Cricetulus griseus: one gene and its partners. The protein of the gene in region 1 binds, or shares a complex with, the protein of each later gene. Links are inferred from orthologs where the notes say so. Each region holds a gene or a part of one and is shown on either strand. Other genes may lie near its edges. The genes, in order: Ccdc151, Ttc25 and Efcab1.

What was found.
Region 2: Ccdc151 (region 1) and Ttc25 share a complex: the UniProt entries of both Homo sapiens proteins name them as parts of the outer dynein arm-docking complex. The link is inferred for Cricetulus griseus from reciprocal best matches to the Homo sapiens genes ODAD3 and ODAD4.
Region 3: Ccdc151 (region 1) and Efcab1 share a complex: the UniProt entries of both Homo sapiens proteins name them as parts of the outer dynein arm-docking complex. The link is inferred for Cricetulus griseus from reciprocal best matches to the Homo sapiens genes ODAD3 and CLXN.

The regions. Positions count from the first base shown.
Region 1 is NC_048597.1:134,883,439-134,887,084, reverse strand, and holds the end of Ccdc151 (coiled-coil domain-containing protein 151), read left to right. Parts: coding exon 1-25; intron 26-924; coding exon 925-1,085; intron 1,086-1,167; coding exon 1,168-1,324; intron 1,325-1,957; coding exon 1,958-2,113; intron 2,114-2,478; coding exon 2,479-2,563; intron 2,564-2,709; coding exon 2,710-2,828; 3' UTR 2,829-3,075; downstream 3,076-3,646. UniProt on the Homo sapiens protein: Component of the outer dynein arm-docking complex (ODA-DC) that mediates outer dynein arms (ODA) binding onto the doublet microtubule. Involved in mediating assembly of both ODAs and their axonemal docking complex onto ciliary microtubules.
Region 2 is NC_048600.1:113,620,608-113,624,412, reverse strand, and holds the end of Ttc25 (tetratricopeptide repeat protein 25), read right to left. Parts: intron 1,096-3,805; coding exon 689-1,095; 3' UTR 526-688; downstream 1-525. UniProt on the Homo sapiens protein: Component of the outer dynein arm-docking complex (ODA-DC) that mediates outer dynein arms (ODA) binding onto the doublet microtubule. Plays an essential role for the assembly of ODA-DC and for the docking of ODA in ciliary axoneme.
Region 3 is NC_048597.1:74,574,185-74,578,567, reverse strand, and holds the start of Efcab1 (EF-hand calcium-binding domain-containing protein 1), read left to right. Parts: upstream 1-1,560; coding exon 1,561-1,618; intron 1,619-4,383. UniProt on the Homo sapiens protein: Component of the outer dynein arm-docking complex (ODA-DC) that mediates outer dynein arms (ODA) binding onto the doublet microtubule. Seems to regulate the assembly of both ODAs and their axonemal docking complex onto ciliary microtubules.

The DNA of each region.
Region 1 (3,646 bases):
TGCCACTGGAGTGGCTGAATCACATGTGAGTGCCTTGGGCCTGCACTGGAGTGGGGCAGGCTCCTCTTCCCTTAAAGGTGTCTTCTCCTGCCCAGCTCCGGCTCTGGTAGAGCTGTCCACATCAGTCCTCACTTCCTTCCATTCTCTCACTGTGCTGACTTCTTTGGTATGCCTGTTCTGGGAGTTTTATTTGTCAGGTTCTGTTTCTAAGATCATCACTGTGTGGAATGATCTAGGATACAGTAGACTGCCCAATATTGTCCCTAACCATGGAATCCCAGCCCTTCGTTATGCCCTCACTCTTGTTAGGAGCCATGCTGTCTTCCAAGACCCTGTGTATCTCCCTCCAGTGCTTGATCCTGCCTTAGAACACACACACCCTGTCCAATTAGTTTCTCCAGTTTGGTTTCTCTGCACCCAGCTACTCCTCCAAAGAGGTTATCCCTAGGCAATCTGGGCTCTGACCTGTGAGGTCAGCTGTACATGCATTTACTAGTCTGAGGCCCTCCTTCAGAAGTGGTGAGATGGCTTAGTGGGTAAAAATGATTATGCGCAAGCCTGACAACTTGAATTCCATCCCTGGGCCCTGAGAGCACTTTCCACATGTGTGCCTTGGCACACACATACACAAAAGGCTGGAAGGCTGATTGCACCAGAGAGGCCCAGCATCTTTGTGCTATTTGGCCAGATACCCAATCAGAACTTGCGGGCACAGTGACTTTTGAAAGCACCGCTCTACCTCCGCATGCTGATTTTAGCTAACTCATATATAGGCAGGGAAAGGCGTGGGGAAAAGTACAGCCTTGAAACAGCCGGGAGACTGACCCACACAATCCTCACACATAGCTGTGTGACACAGACAGAGTCAGACCGCCCTCCAGCCTCCCTTGGCCCATGCTCTGACCAGGGATGGGTGGCCCGCAGGCTGTGTTTCGAAGGTTCCTGGCCCAGGATGAGACCTTCACGCAGTTGGAGACTCTCAAGAGGGACAACGAGCAGATGCTGGTGAAGATGAAGGAGGAGAAAGAGCGGCTCCAGAGGGAGCTGGAGAACCTCAAGTACTCAGGGGATGCCACACTAGTTAGGTGAGCCTCAAGTGGCTGAGGGAGGCCTGGGGGGCTCTGGAATCAGCCGCCTGTAGCTGCTGAACCGCCTGGCTTCCGGCAGCCAGCGGAAGCTCCGCGACACGATGCAGGAGACATTCAAGACTGAGGAGCGGCGGCGCAACGACATCCACCAGCAACTGGAACGCGCCTTGCGAACCCTCCAGGTGGCCAAGGACGGCCTGGAGCATCTGGCCAACAAACTGAGCCACGTGATAGTGGTAGGCCCCGCCCTGGTAAAGGTCTACCCGCCTTCCCGGTAGGCCACACCCAAGAAGCTCCAGCCCTAATGGCCACTGTCCCTGGGAGGCCCCGCAGAAAGCTCTACCCCATCCCTGGCAAGCCCTGCCCTCGTCCTCCCAGAGCATCAGAGCAGATGGAGTAAAGGTTCCATACAAGCCATAGGATCCTAACCCTGTCTCCTGCTCATAACCCAAGGCTCTGTTTAAGGAAGAAAGTTCCACGCCATGCATCACTGTCCAGGTTCCACATTCCTGGGGAAGTTCTCTTTCGCTCAGCCTCAAACTGACTCCATGCTCAAAACCAGCCATCCTCCCTAACCCAAAACTTAAGCAGTCCCCGGCGAGGGAAGTCCCACCCTGTCTGCAAGAGCGCCATTTCTTTAGAAAGCCACCCTCACAATGGTCTAGCTTGTGTTATTAATCTCAAATAGACCTCCCCATACTTTGTATAGCAAGTCCAAAGGCTCTGCCTTCAAGGCGGGGCTTTAATTTTAGAGGGTGTACTCTATCTCAGAACTCCCCAGCCCTGGGAAAAGCCCCACTCGTGGGTGAAGCCTGTCCCCTCCCAGGGGCCCTGCATCTCTCAGGTAACTTAGCCGGTCCCCACTGCAGGATGATAGCGTTCTGTCAGGAAAGAAGTTAGACCCCGACTCAGAGAACTACTTGTCCGATCTGCTGGAGGTTGTCCAGGAAAAGCTGCTGAGACTACAAGGGCAACTAGAGAGCCACGACATATCAGAGATGATGCGACACATCACAGAGCGAGAGGTGGTGTACTGAAATCTCTGCCGGCACAATCAAGGCTGGGGGAGGGTGGAAAACCAGAGAGCAGACGGCGATAGGAGCAATAGTGGGGATTGAGATGTGAGTTTCATAGCCAAAAAAGAGAAGCAGGGGTTGGGTGGACCCCGGATGGCAGGACTGGAGAACCTCGGATGCTCTAGAGAGGCCTCTGGGGAGGGCCTCAGAGACCAGGCAGTAGGCTTGAGTGACAGTGTAGGTCTGCTAGGAAAGGGTACGCAGCAGAGTGGACAGTGATCTCACCTGGAATTCAGGCAGTATCTTGAAGTAAGGTGGGAGAAGGAGGAACAGAGCTTCACTGCAGTCTCACACCTCTCTCCTGCCTCCTGTAGTTCCTGAGCTCATTAGAAGGAAAACTGCCTCTCTTCAACACCCGCATCCTTCTGCCCCTTGCCCCTGTCAAGGACAAGTTCTTTGGTCAGTACATGCCAAAGGAGGATGGATGGGAGGGGCACGAGGTGGCCTTAGGTCAAGGCCAAGGAGGAGGTGTTTGGTGTGGTAAAGTCTGGGAAGGGCGAAAGAAGCGATCTCTTACCCTCTCCGCCCATCATGCCTCTCTGCAGATGAAGAGGAAAGTGAGGAGGATGATCGCGATGTGGTGACCCGTGCTGCCTTCAAGCTCCGTTCCCAGAAGTTAATTGAAGCCCGCAGCAAGAAGCGCAGTAGGTCGCGCAGGTCCTAGACTCGCAGTTGCGTCCCATCGGATGCCTCCGGGCCTCTAGGGAACCCTGCGACCCGCTGGGCCCACCTACCGGTGTGGGCGGAGCCCTGGAGGCTCCTTCGAGGGCTGAAGGAGGCTCCAGTAGGGAGCACCGCAGGTCAGCAGCACCCGGAGGAGGGGAACGTCGGAGCCAGAAGTTCCCACAGTAAATCTCTCGAGGCGGGTTAAGCCCGCCTCAGAATCACGCAATAAAGGTCACTGACCAGCCTCCAGGGTACTCACCTCTTCTTGACCCTGCACTGCTCCCAAACGGCTGACCCCACAAAATACAGGGTCACACACATTTCACAGCTTCCAGCCTGAGACGATATGGCTGCCATCACCTGTGATAGAAATCCAGTGTGCCTTCCTTCCCCTCCAAACATAGGGGGCACCCCTAAACCTGGGGCTGATAACCTCAAATGAACACAAAGAACTTCCCACCCGGGGACACAGACCTGTCGCTGTCCCCGCTACACCCATATCTGGGGTCAGGGAAGACTTAAGGGCTGGGTGACAGATTGATACACCTCTGGGAAGGTCCCGGACTTCTGGGTGCCGGGGTCGGCTGGGGACCTCGACAGTCGTGCCACCGCCTTGCCCAGCCCCTCCCCGCCCGGCGACTGGACGCACAGCCGCCCCGCCCCGCCCCACTGCCCACTCCCGCTGGCCCTTCCGCTTCTCTCAGCGGCGCCAGGGAGCAGGACGGGCATCGGGGCCATGGAGAGGACGGCGGGCAAAGAGCTCGCCCTGGTAAGAGGGAACTGGGGAATCCTCAGACCCCACGTCCCTGGTGTACC
Region 2 (3,805 bases), on another chromosome or scaffold:
CCCTAGACTAACACAACTGAAACCATGGTGGAAGTGCCATTCGGGTCATGAAACCAGACAGCTAGGCAGCACCACCTGCCAAAACAAAAACAAAGACCTAATACATCAAAGTCTATAATTATGGAAAAGTCCCTAAATGTACATTGCTTTTTGGCGTCTGTAGTTATGCTTCTGGCTGAGGGGTGTGTGTGTGTGTGTGTGTGTGTGTGTGTGTGTGTGTGGTTTTTTGTTTTTTTCTTGTGCTAAGAAAGGCTGAGCTGGCCCACTAATGTGGTTTCTGTATACCCCAGCCCCACCCCCTGCCTTGTACTCTCCACATAGTACATTCTGTGGAATGTGAGCCAATGGCTGAGAAGCAGACAGAAACACCTCTGCTCTCAAGGCTTTGCTTCCTCTCCTTCGAGCAGATCTGGGCTCTCTGGGGCTCACCTGCCTCTCCACCTCTAATCTCTTCCACTGGTTCCCTACTGAGAATAGGGAGGGTGGGGAGAGGAGGCACAATGACTCACTCAGGATTTGCAAAAGTTAAGACACATATTTAATGAGAAAACAGGGCAGGTGGATGACTTGTAGGCGGCAACCTCCCAGTTTGTTTGTTTTTTTTTCCCCCCTACCAAAAGCATCTCACCTGGAAACACTGTCCTGAACCTAGTGCCTATTAGGCAAGTCTTCCTTCCTCTCCCGTTTGTTAAGAATTTGAGTCTTTGACTTCGTCCTCTTCCTCTGTCTTCTCCAACCTTCCAACCTCCCCTCCTTCTGCCATTTTCTTCTCTGGTTTTATATCCATTAGGCTTACACTGTCTGAGGCTGTGTGGTCGGTGGAGTCTTCTGATATTCTCCTGAAAATTTCCTTTGACTCTCTGCTGGTTACTTCGTTACTGTCCCCTAACAGTTTTTTGGTAAGTCCTGAAGAAGTGTCTTGTTCTTCTGTCCTCGACTGCGTGTGCTTCTGCCCCTCGTCATCAGTGGTGTCTCTCTCGCTCTCTGTCGGTTCCCTTTCCCACTGTTTCATTGCATTGTCCGATTCTTCCCGCCCTCGTTTCGTTTCCTTCTCTGATGAGGTTCCAGGCAACTCCATCAATGCAGTGACCTCCTCTGAAAAACAGAACAGGGTGGGGGTGGGATGAAGATCTACTGTGACTAGACCTCTCAAGTTCTGGGCCTCGGAGAGCAAAGCCCTGAGAGGGGCCCCGCTGGCTGTCACAAGCTCTTTCAAATGGCGTGACAGCACAGGCTTCCAAAAGGATAGAACTGGTCATTACTCAGGGCCTGAGGTCAGCCCTGCTCTGGCTTCCAGGGAGATGCTGCACATACCATACCACTTGGTTATCAGGGAACTGCACAGGAACCCAAGACTGACACAGAGGATATTATACCACAATCTCTCCCCGCCAAGCAAGAGCAAAGCCAGGATTTGAACCCAAGACAGTCTGGCCCAAAAGCACAGGTGCTTTTCCCTACAAGAAATGGCACTGGTGCTTGTTTCTTGGTCCATGTCACATGAGCAGCCACTGCCACAGGCTCCTGCAACCACCATGCCTTCCCCACGATGATGCAAAAGGCATCCTGCCTTCCTTACAAAAAATGGCCTAGGTGTTGGGAAACGACACACGGTTCTTTTCTCCAGTGTCCCCACCCTGCCACCGTTGTATTTGCCCCTGGAAAGCAGTCAGCACTGAGTTCTCTTGTAAACATGTGAGCAGGCTGTAAGCAGCAGGAGGGGCTGCTGGAGAGGTGCTTATGTGACCAAAGGGGCTCTTGCTCCTTGTCTCTGATAATTACAGGAAAGTCACTTTCACCTCCTGGATGGCCTTCATGCTCTTCCTGGAAGTCAGCAATAGAAACTGAACAGGTTCACCACCACCCCAGAGTAAAAAGGATGAACAACACTGCCCTCTACTGTCCAGAGAAGGAAGTGCCCCCACGAGAAGGTAGAAAGGATCTTTGCCAAGCATGTGTCCAGCCCAGAGGAGTGGGGGCCTGCTTGGAGCATCTGAAGTTTTCCTGCCATCTTTTTTTCACATCTGTCGCTCCAGCGGCTTTTTAACTGCTCCATGTGATGTACAACCACTGACTTGGCCTCTCTTTGAGGGAATCAGCTTCTTCACAGCAGGTACTGGATAAGAAAGGGCTGTTGGCCAGACAGTGGCGCACGCCTTTAATCCCAGTACTCAGGAGGCAGAGGCAGGCGGATCTCTGTGAGCTCGAGGCCAGCCTGGTCTACAGAGTGAGTTCCAGGACAACCTCCAAAGCAATACAGAGAAGCCCTATCTCAAACAAAACAAAACAAAACAAAACCAAAACAAAACAAAAAACAAGAAGGAAAGAAAGAAAAAGAAAAAAGGAAAGGGCTGTTGCGCTGGGGAGATGGTTCAGTGGACAAGCCTGAGTCCTGATCCCTGGAAGTGAAGGCATGCACCTGTAAACCCAGGGTTTGGGAGGTAGAGAGGCTAGAGGATCAGGAGCTGATGACCATGCTCAGGGTAAATCTGAGGCCAGCCCAGGATACACGAGACACCACCTTAAAAAAAAAAAAAAAAAAAAAAAAAAAAAAAAAAAGCTGGGCAGTTATGGAGGCCAGCCTGTAATCCCAGCTCTCAGGAGGTTAAATCAGGTGACCCCTGGAGTGCAAATGTGAACAGCCAGACAGGCCTGAATCAGAGGTCAGCCTCTGTTTTCCACATACATGCGTACGCATGTGTACCAACGATACGACACATTGCCCACATATGCATGCAAAAAGGGGGCTGTCATCTGGCTGCCCTGCTGTGGTAGCAGCCAGGAGGACTAGAGAGGACTTTGCCTTGAATCTTGGAGGGCTTTAGTAGGAACCCACACTGGGCTCTGCTCCTGGACCCCACCCACTGCATCATGACTGAAGTCAGGGTGCCACAGAGGGAGGTAGACAAAGGCTGTCTGTCACCAAAACCAGTATGGAATCACATTTGAGGCCCCAGATCTAATGCTAGATGGCCAAACTGAAAGCCACTCTGGATTTCCAAGTCCCCTGCCTCAGTGCCCTCCTTAGTAAAACTGAGTACTTTGACAGTGTCCCCAGAAGTGGGGGGTGGCAATAGTGCCTACCACCCCTCTAGAATGTCTGGCACTAGGGCAATAAATGGAGCCCGGCTGCTGCTCTTCTCAAACCTGCTCTTCTGGGCTTGCCCATAATTTGACTCTCTGTCCCCTCAGACCTTCTCCGTGGGCAAGCAGAGCCTGAAGGGTCAAAGTCCCCTTTGCTTCCTGGAGGTCTAGAGTGAAGCTGCTGAGCAATGCAGAGGTCCCAGATGAGCGACCCCAGACAGCCCAGCTGGGAGAGTGGCCAGGCAGCACACTCCCTAGCATGTGACCTGGCAGTTACCACCCTCACTCGGCTTCCCACTCAGTACCAGTACAAGGACAGAATGAGACGGACAGACAGGTACATCACCCTGTACCTGACTAGCAGGAGCAAGCGGCCCCTGGTGTGGTCCTCTCATCCTGTCAGTGTCTGCTCTTATTGTGTCCTACTGGAAATGGTCCCCCTTCCTCCTCCACCTCTCACCAGGAAAACTGATGGGCTTTTTTGAGGCAGACTACTTCCTCCGTGAGGCTGTCCCTGACTCCCTAGAGTTGCCCCCAGCCTGTGTGTTCACACAGCACATGTCCACTCTGCTGAGCCCTCGAGTGTGGAACCCAGTGCTGGCCACTCTGTGGCCTTCCCTCTGGGTTCCTGTAGGCCAGAGTCCTGTCTTCTGAGAATCTAACACCTACGGGGCACGTGGCAAGTGCTTGATATATACTCCACGAATAACCTGAAGACAGA
Region 3 (4,383 bases), about 60 Mb from region 1:
CATCTATATGAGCCTCTAAGAGGTATCCAATGTATCCTGTCTTCCAGGATGCCTAGGCACACTCATTAAGCTGCTCCCTAAGACACTTCCCATGCCCACGGATTATGTCATTAACTACTGACAGCCACACCTACTCCCTGGCTTTCACAACGTCAACTCCAAAATGTAGGGGGAAAAATTCTGTGATTTTATGGGAGGAAAGGACAAACTATATCCAGTCCTTCTCATTTGTTTCTACTATCTCAGAGTTTGTCAGCTTCTGGATGTGAGGATATTGGTGGTCATTTCATATTGGTTAACATTTTTCTAACAATTTTCTTTAGTGAGGCACAGTACCTGGGGTTACCAAGGGTTCTTGGTTCTGCTTTCAAACAGCACTGTAATTATTTCTACAAAAAAATATGTAAAAGAAAACCAGCCCCTTCAACACTGGAACTATTTCATTTTGGGTTGTTTTTTATTCTTGGCAGTATTTTTCTATTTTCAGTTGGAAAAGGACATTATGTTTTCAATAAACTACTGTGATTTCCCAGCCGTTGCTCTCTGAAGGTTCATGCTGAGCTAGACCATTCATTTGGGTCTAAATTCAAAGAGAACATCACATCTGTTATTGAGAAAAGTAGAAAGTACTGCAGTGCTATAGATATATAGTGATTTTTTTTTAAACATTCAGACTTGTCTTTCAAATAAGCAATGCAACAATTTCAATGGGATATATTTTTTAAAAGCAAGCTTGGATATCAACACTTAAATGGGAACCTTTCTCCATATAAGAGGATGTAACTTTACTTAACAACCTTAAAATTTGATGGAAGGTTTGGGGGAGGGAGGAGGGAGGGGAAGGGGGAAGAGGGGAGAGAGAAAGGTTCTACTTTCTCAGCAACACAGTTCAAGCCTAATTGTTTAGACTCACTTCCAGTGGTCCATTAGTCCTGAAGAAAAAGCTCCTCACACTCAAGAGCAAACAGCCGCTGTGACAATTGTCTGAATGGCACACGTATTTCCCTCCAGCACTTCCACAGATCTCCCTAAAGACCCTAAGTCCCTCTTGTGCCCATCACCCAAAACATCTCCTATATAACCTGAACACTTTCTCTTAGACTTCTGATTGTTTATGTTGCAGTCTTGAGGGGCTGTGAACCCAAAAGACAATGAAAAGTGAGTATCAAAAACTCCAACCTGTCAATCAACACAACCTGAAAAGTGCCTGGTTGGAATTCTATAACTTGGACAGTAGGGGCTGGGCAGCCATAGCTGGCAGTTTCAGCCACAGGCCTTTCTGTGCCAGACTAGTCAGCCTCCAGCGCAGAGCCAATCGTCAGCAGGACCAGCTGTTGCCATGGCTCCTCTGTGTGCAAGGGCCTCATTTATGTCTTGCCTGCCTGCCCCTGGGAGCCAATTGGTGGACTGCTAAAGCGTTGCCATGGCCACGCTGTCTGTTAGGGGCCGCAAATGCTCAGAGCCAAGGAGTCTGAAACCAGGCTGCCTCAGCCTGGAGCTCGTGAAGGACCTGGCTCTGGGCTCCAGATGACACTGAGACTTACCTAGATGAATACCATCATGAACCGAAAGAAGCTGCAGAAGCTGACAGACACCTTAACTAAAAGTTGCAAACACTGTAAGTAAGAACCGAATTCTGGAGGACCCATGACTTCTGGACCAGGTCTGTTACCTAACTTGTGCTTCCGTCCTGCTTCCACCACAAGGGCTTCTTCACAGTAAGCCACAAGAGACACCTGCATGAAAATCCCTTTTTTGGGGTGTCAGCTCCTCATGTAGTGCCAGGATCTTTAGAACACGACCAGATCACGTGCATCCAGTGTGTGCTGCCTGAGCTTCCTCTCATACCGTCGCTAAATTCAAAGACCCTCTTTATTTGCTTTTATGTTATAGAAACATGATGCGATGTCCTGGGAGGCATGTGACTTTAGCTTTAAACAGGTTGACAAGGTCTAGAAAAACATTAGAATCAAGAAGGTAGCAGAGCCGATGTATAGCACCTTCACCTACTTCCTAGCTCTTTCTAGAGGAGAAGAACCTGTAAGGTCTAAGTTCTGGAAGTTTACTAAGAGCTCCATAAGGGAAAACAGTCATCCACTGCTGGGCACCTTTAAGAAAGACACTTGCAGTTCCACAGCAATGTTTTAGGATGAGGTAGTCTATTTGAAAACTGCATTGCTCAGCAAATTAAGATGGTAAGGAATCTGTGTTCAGTTTCAGATGCTCAAATACCAATTGCTAATGGGGTCTAAAGGTGAGGGAGATCCTCCAGGTGAGCAGACACCAGAGCATTGTACTCAGACTGAAAAACAGAGTTGGCCCTTGGGCTAAGAAGCTGTGTGTGGATTTGATTGGGATGAGGGCACTGTTGTCTGGTGTGGGGACTCACAAGTTGTGTGATGATTGAAAAGCTTTTGGTCACGAGGAAAATAGAAAAGGTTCAAATATTCAAATCATCTCAGTTGTATGAAGATGTAGAAGTGAACTTTTAATGGAGCTCTGGGGCCTACTTTCTTTTACATCATTGGTATCTGATATGTGTAAGAAATGATGTTATGGGTGTAGACCCAGAACTGAAATTTGTGACATACTGTCACACTGTGAGCATCTTAAAATTCTCAGAAAAAGGCATCCAACCATTTAAGCTGTTTATTAATTTGATAGTGATTGTGTTCTTTTGCTGTTTTCCTGAAATGCTTTTATCTCTTGGAGAATACCTGATATTTCTAAAATGAGTACAAACATTTCTGATGAATATACAACAGATTAATAACTGGCACATGTAGTGCTCAATTGATTGAGTCTGTTTAATAAGTTCACATTGCTTCACTACCAAACACTGAGAACAATTCAAAAATAAGTGGTTTTCCTTTTGTGTTTTATTTGCATTACTCAGGACTGAAATGCTATGCAAGCAATCTACCACTGAGCTAAAATCTAAACTCTATATAGAGAGTTTAAATTATCAGTAAAAACATGTCTTTAAAAAACTCTTGATTTTTGTTCTTAAGTAAAAATTTTTACATAAGTCCTAGAAATGTTAATGATTATTAGTGAAAAGTAAACTGTCAAACAGCTGCAGCTCATAGACATTGTGATCATTTAAAATGTCTTTAAGTGGCAGATGATGACACAGTGACTGAAATGGATGTGTTGTGTTGAACCAGAGAATAAAGGGTCTTAGGCATGCAACTAGTTAATCCACCTGCTACAGATGAGAACTTCTGAACCCATGTAGGGACCCTGTAACAATGAACGGCCAATCTGGGATGTGTCTTAACTTAATGTAATATGTTGAGAATTCAAGGGGACAGGAAAGTAATACAGGGAGAAAAGATAAATTCTACTAAGAACGTTTGAAAAAGTCAAAGGAGAACATTATTTTATAAATTACTTAAATATTCATTAGCTAACCTGAACAAGCGGGAGCTCATGGACCCCAGACTGATATCTGGGAAACCAGCATAGGACTAGTCCAGACCCCCTGAGTGTGGGTGTTAGTTGGGAGGCCTGGGCAATCTATGGGACCTCTGGCAGTGGATCAGTATTTATCCCTAGTGTATGAATGGGCTTTGGGAGTCCATTCCACATAAAGGGATACTCTCTCATCCTAGACACATGGGGGAGGGCCTAGGCCCTGCTCCAAATGATGACAGACTTTGAAGATTCCCCCATGGAAGGCCTCATCCTCCCTGGGAAGCAGAAAGGGGTTGGGATAGGGGGTTGGTGAGGGGCAGGGGAGGAGGGGAGGGAGAGGGAATTGGGATTGACATGTTAAACAAGCTTGTTTCTAATTTAAATACAAAAGAAAAATATATAAAAATAAAATATTATTGTAATATATGTATACACATATATGCACACATATATATGGAGTTATGGCACATGAAATGAGGGTGTTTCCCCTATCCCAAAGAGCCAGGCACAATCTAACACAAAATTCAGTTCCAGGCAAACCTTCCCTCAAGGTATTGATTAAGGGAATACAAGAGATTTCCAAGACAATTTGGGATGTAGCTTTTGCCATTAATTGCCTTCCAGAACTTAAAAGTGAGACTCTATTGCTGAAGATACCACACACTTGGGCACAGAATTTGGAGAAACTGAGCTGCCACTGACCAGCTAGTCCCTGAGGACTAGTTCTTATAATCTCTTAAAGTGCTGTGTAGGCTGCGATGGGAGAGGAGCAATGAGTTGTCCTACCCAGAGTAAACCCTATGAGCGAGGACAAGGACTGGACAAGGGCACTTTTATCTTGGGAACAACCAACAGCTTTTTATTTGAAATTATGGTCCACTAAATAGGAAAGAACTCATGTAAGGTACTGTAAACCTAGCCAGCTAACCTGCAGGATAACCTATAATTGCCACTTTTCTAAACCAT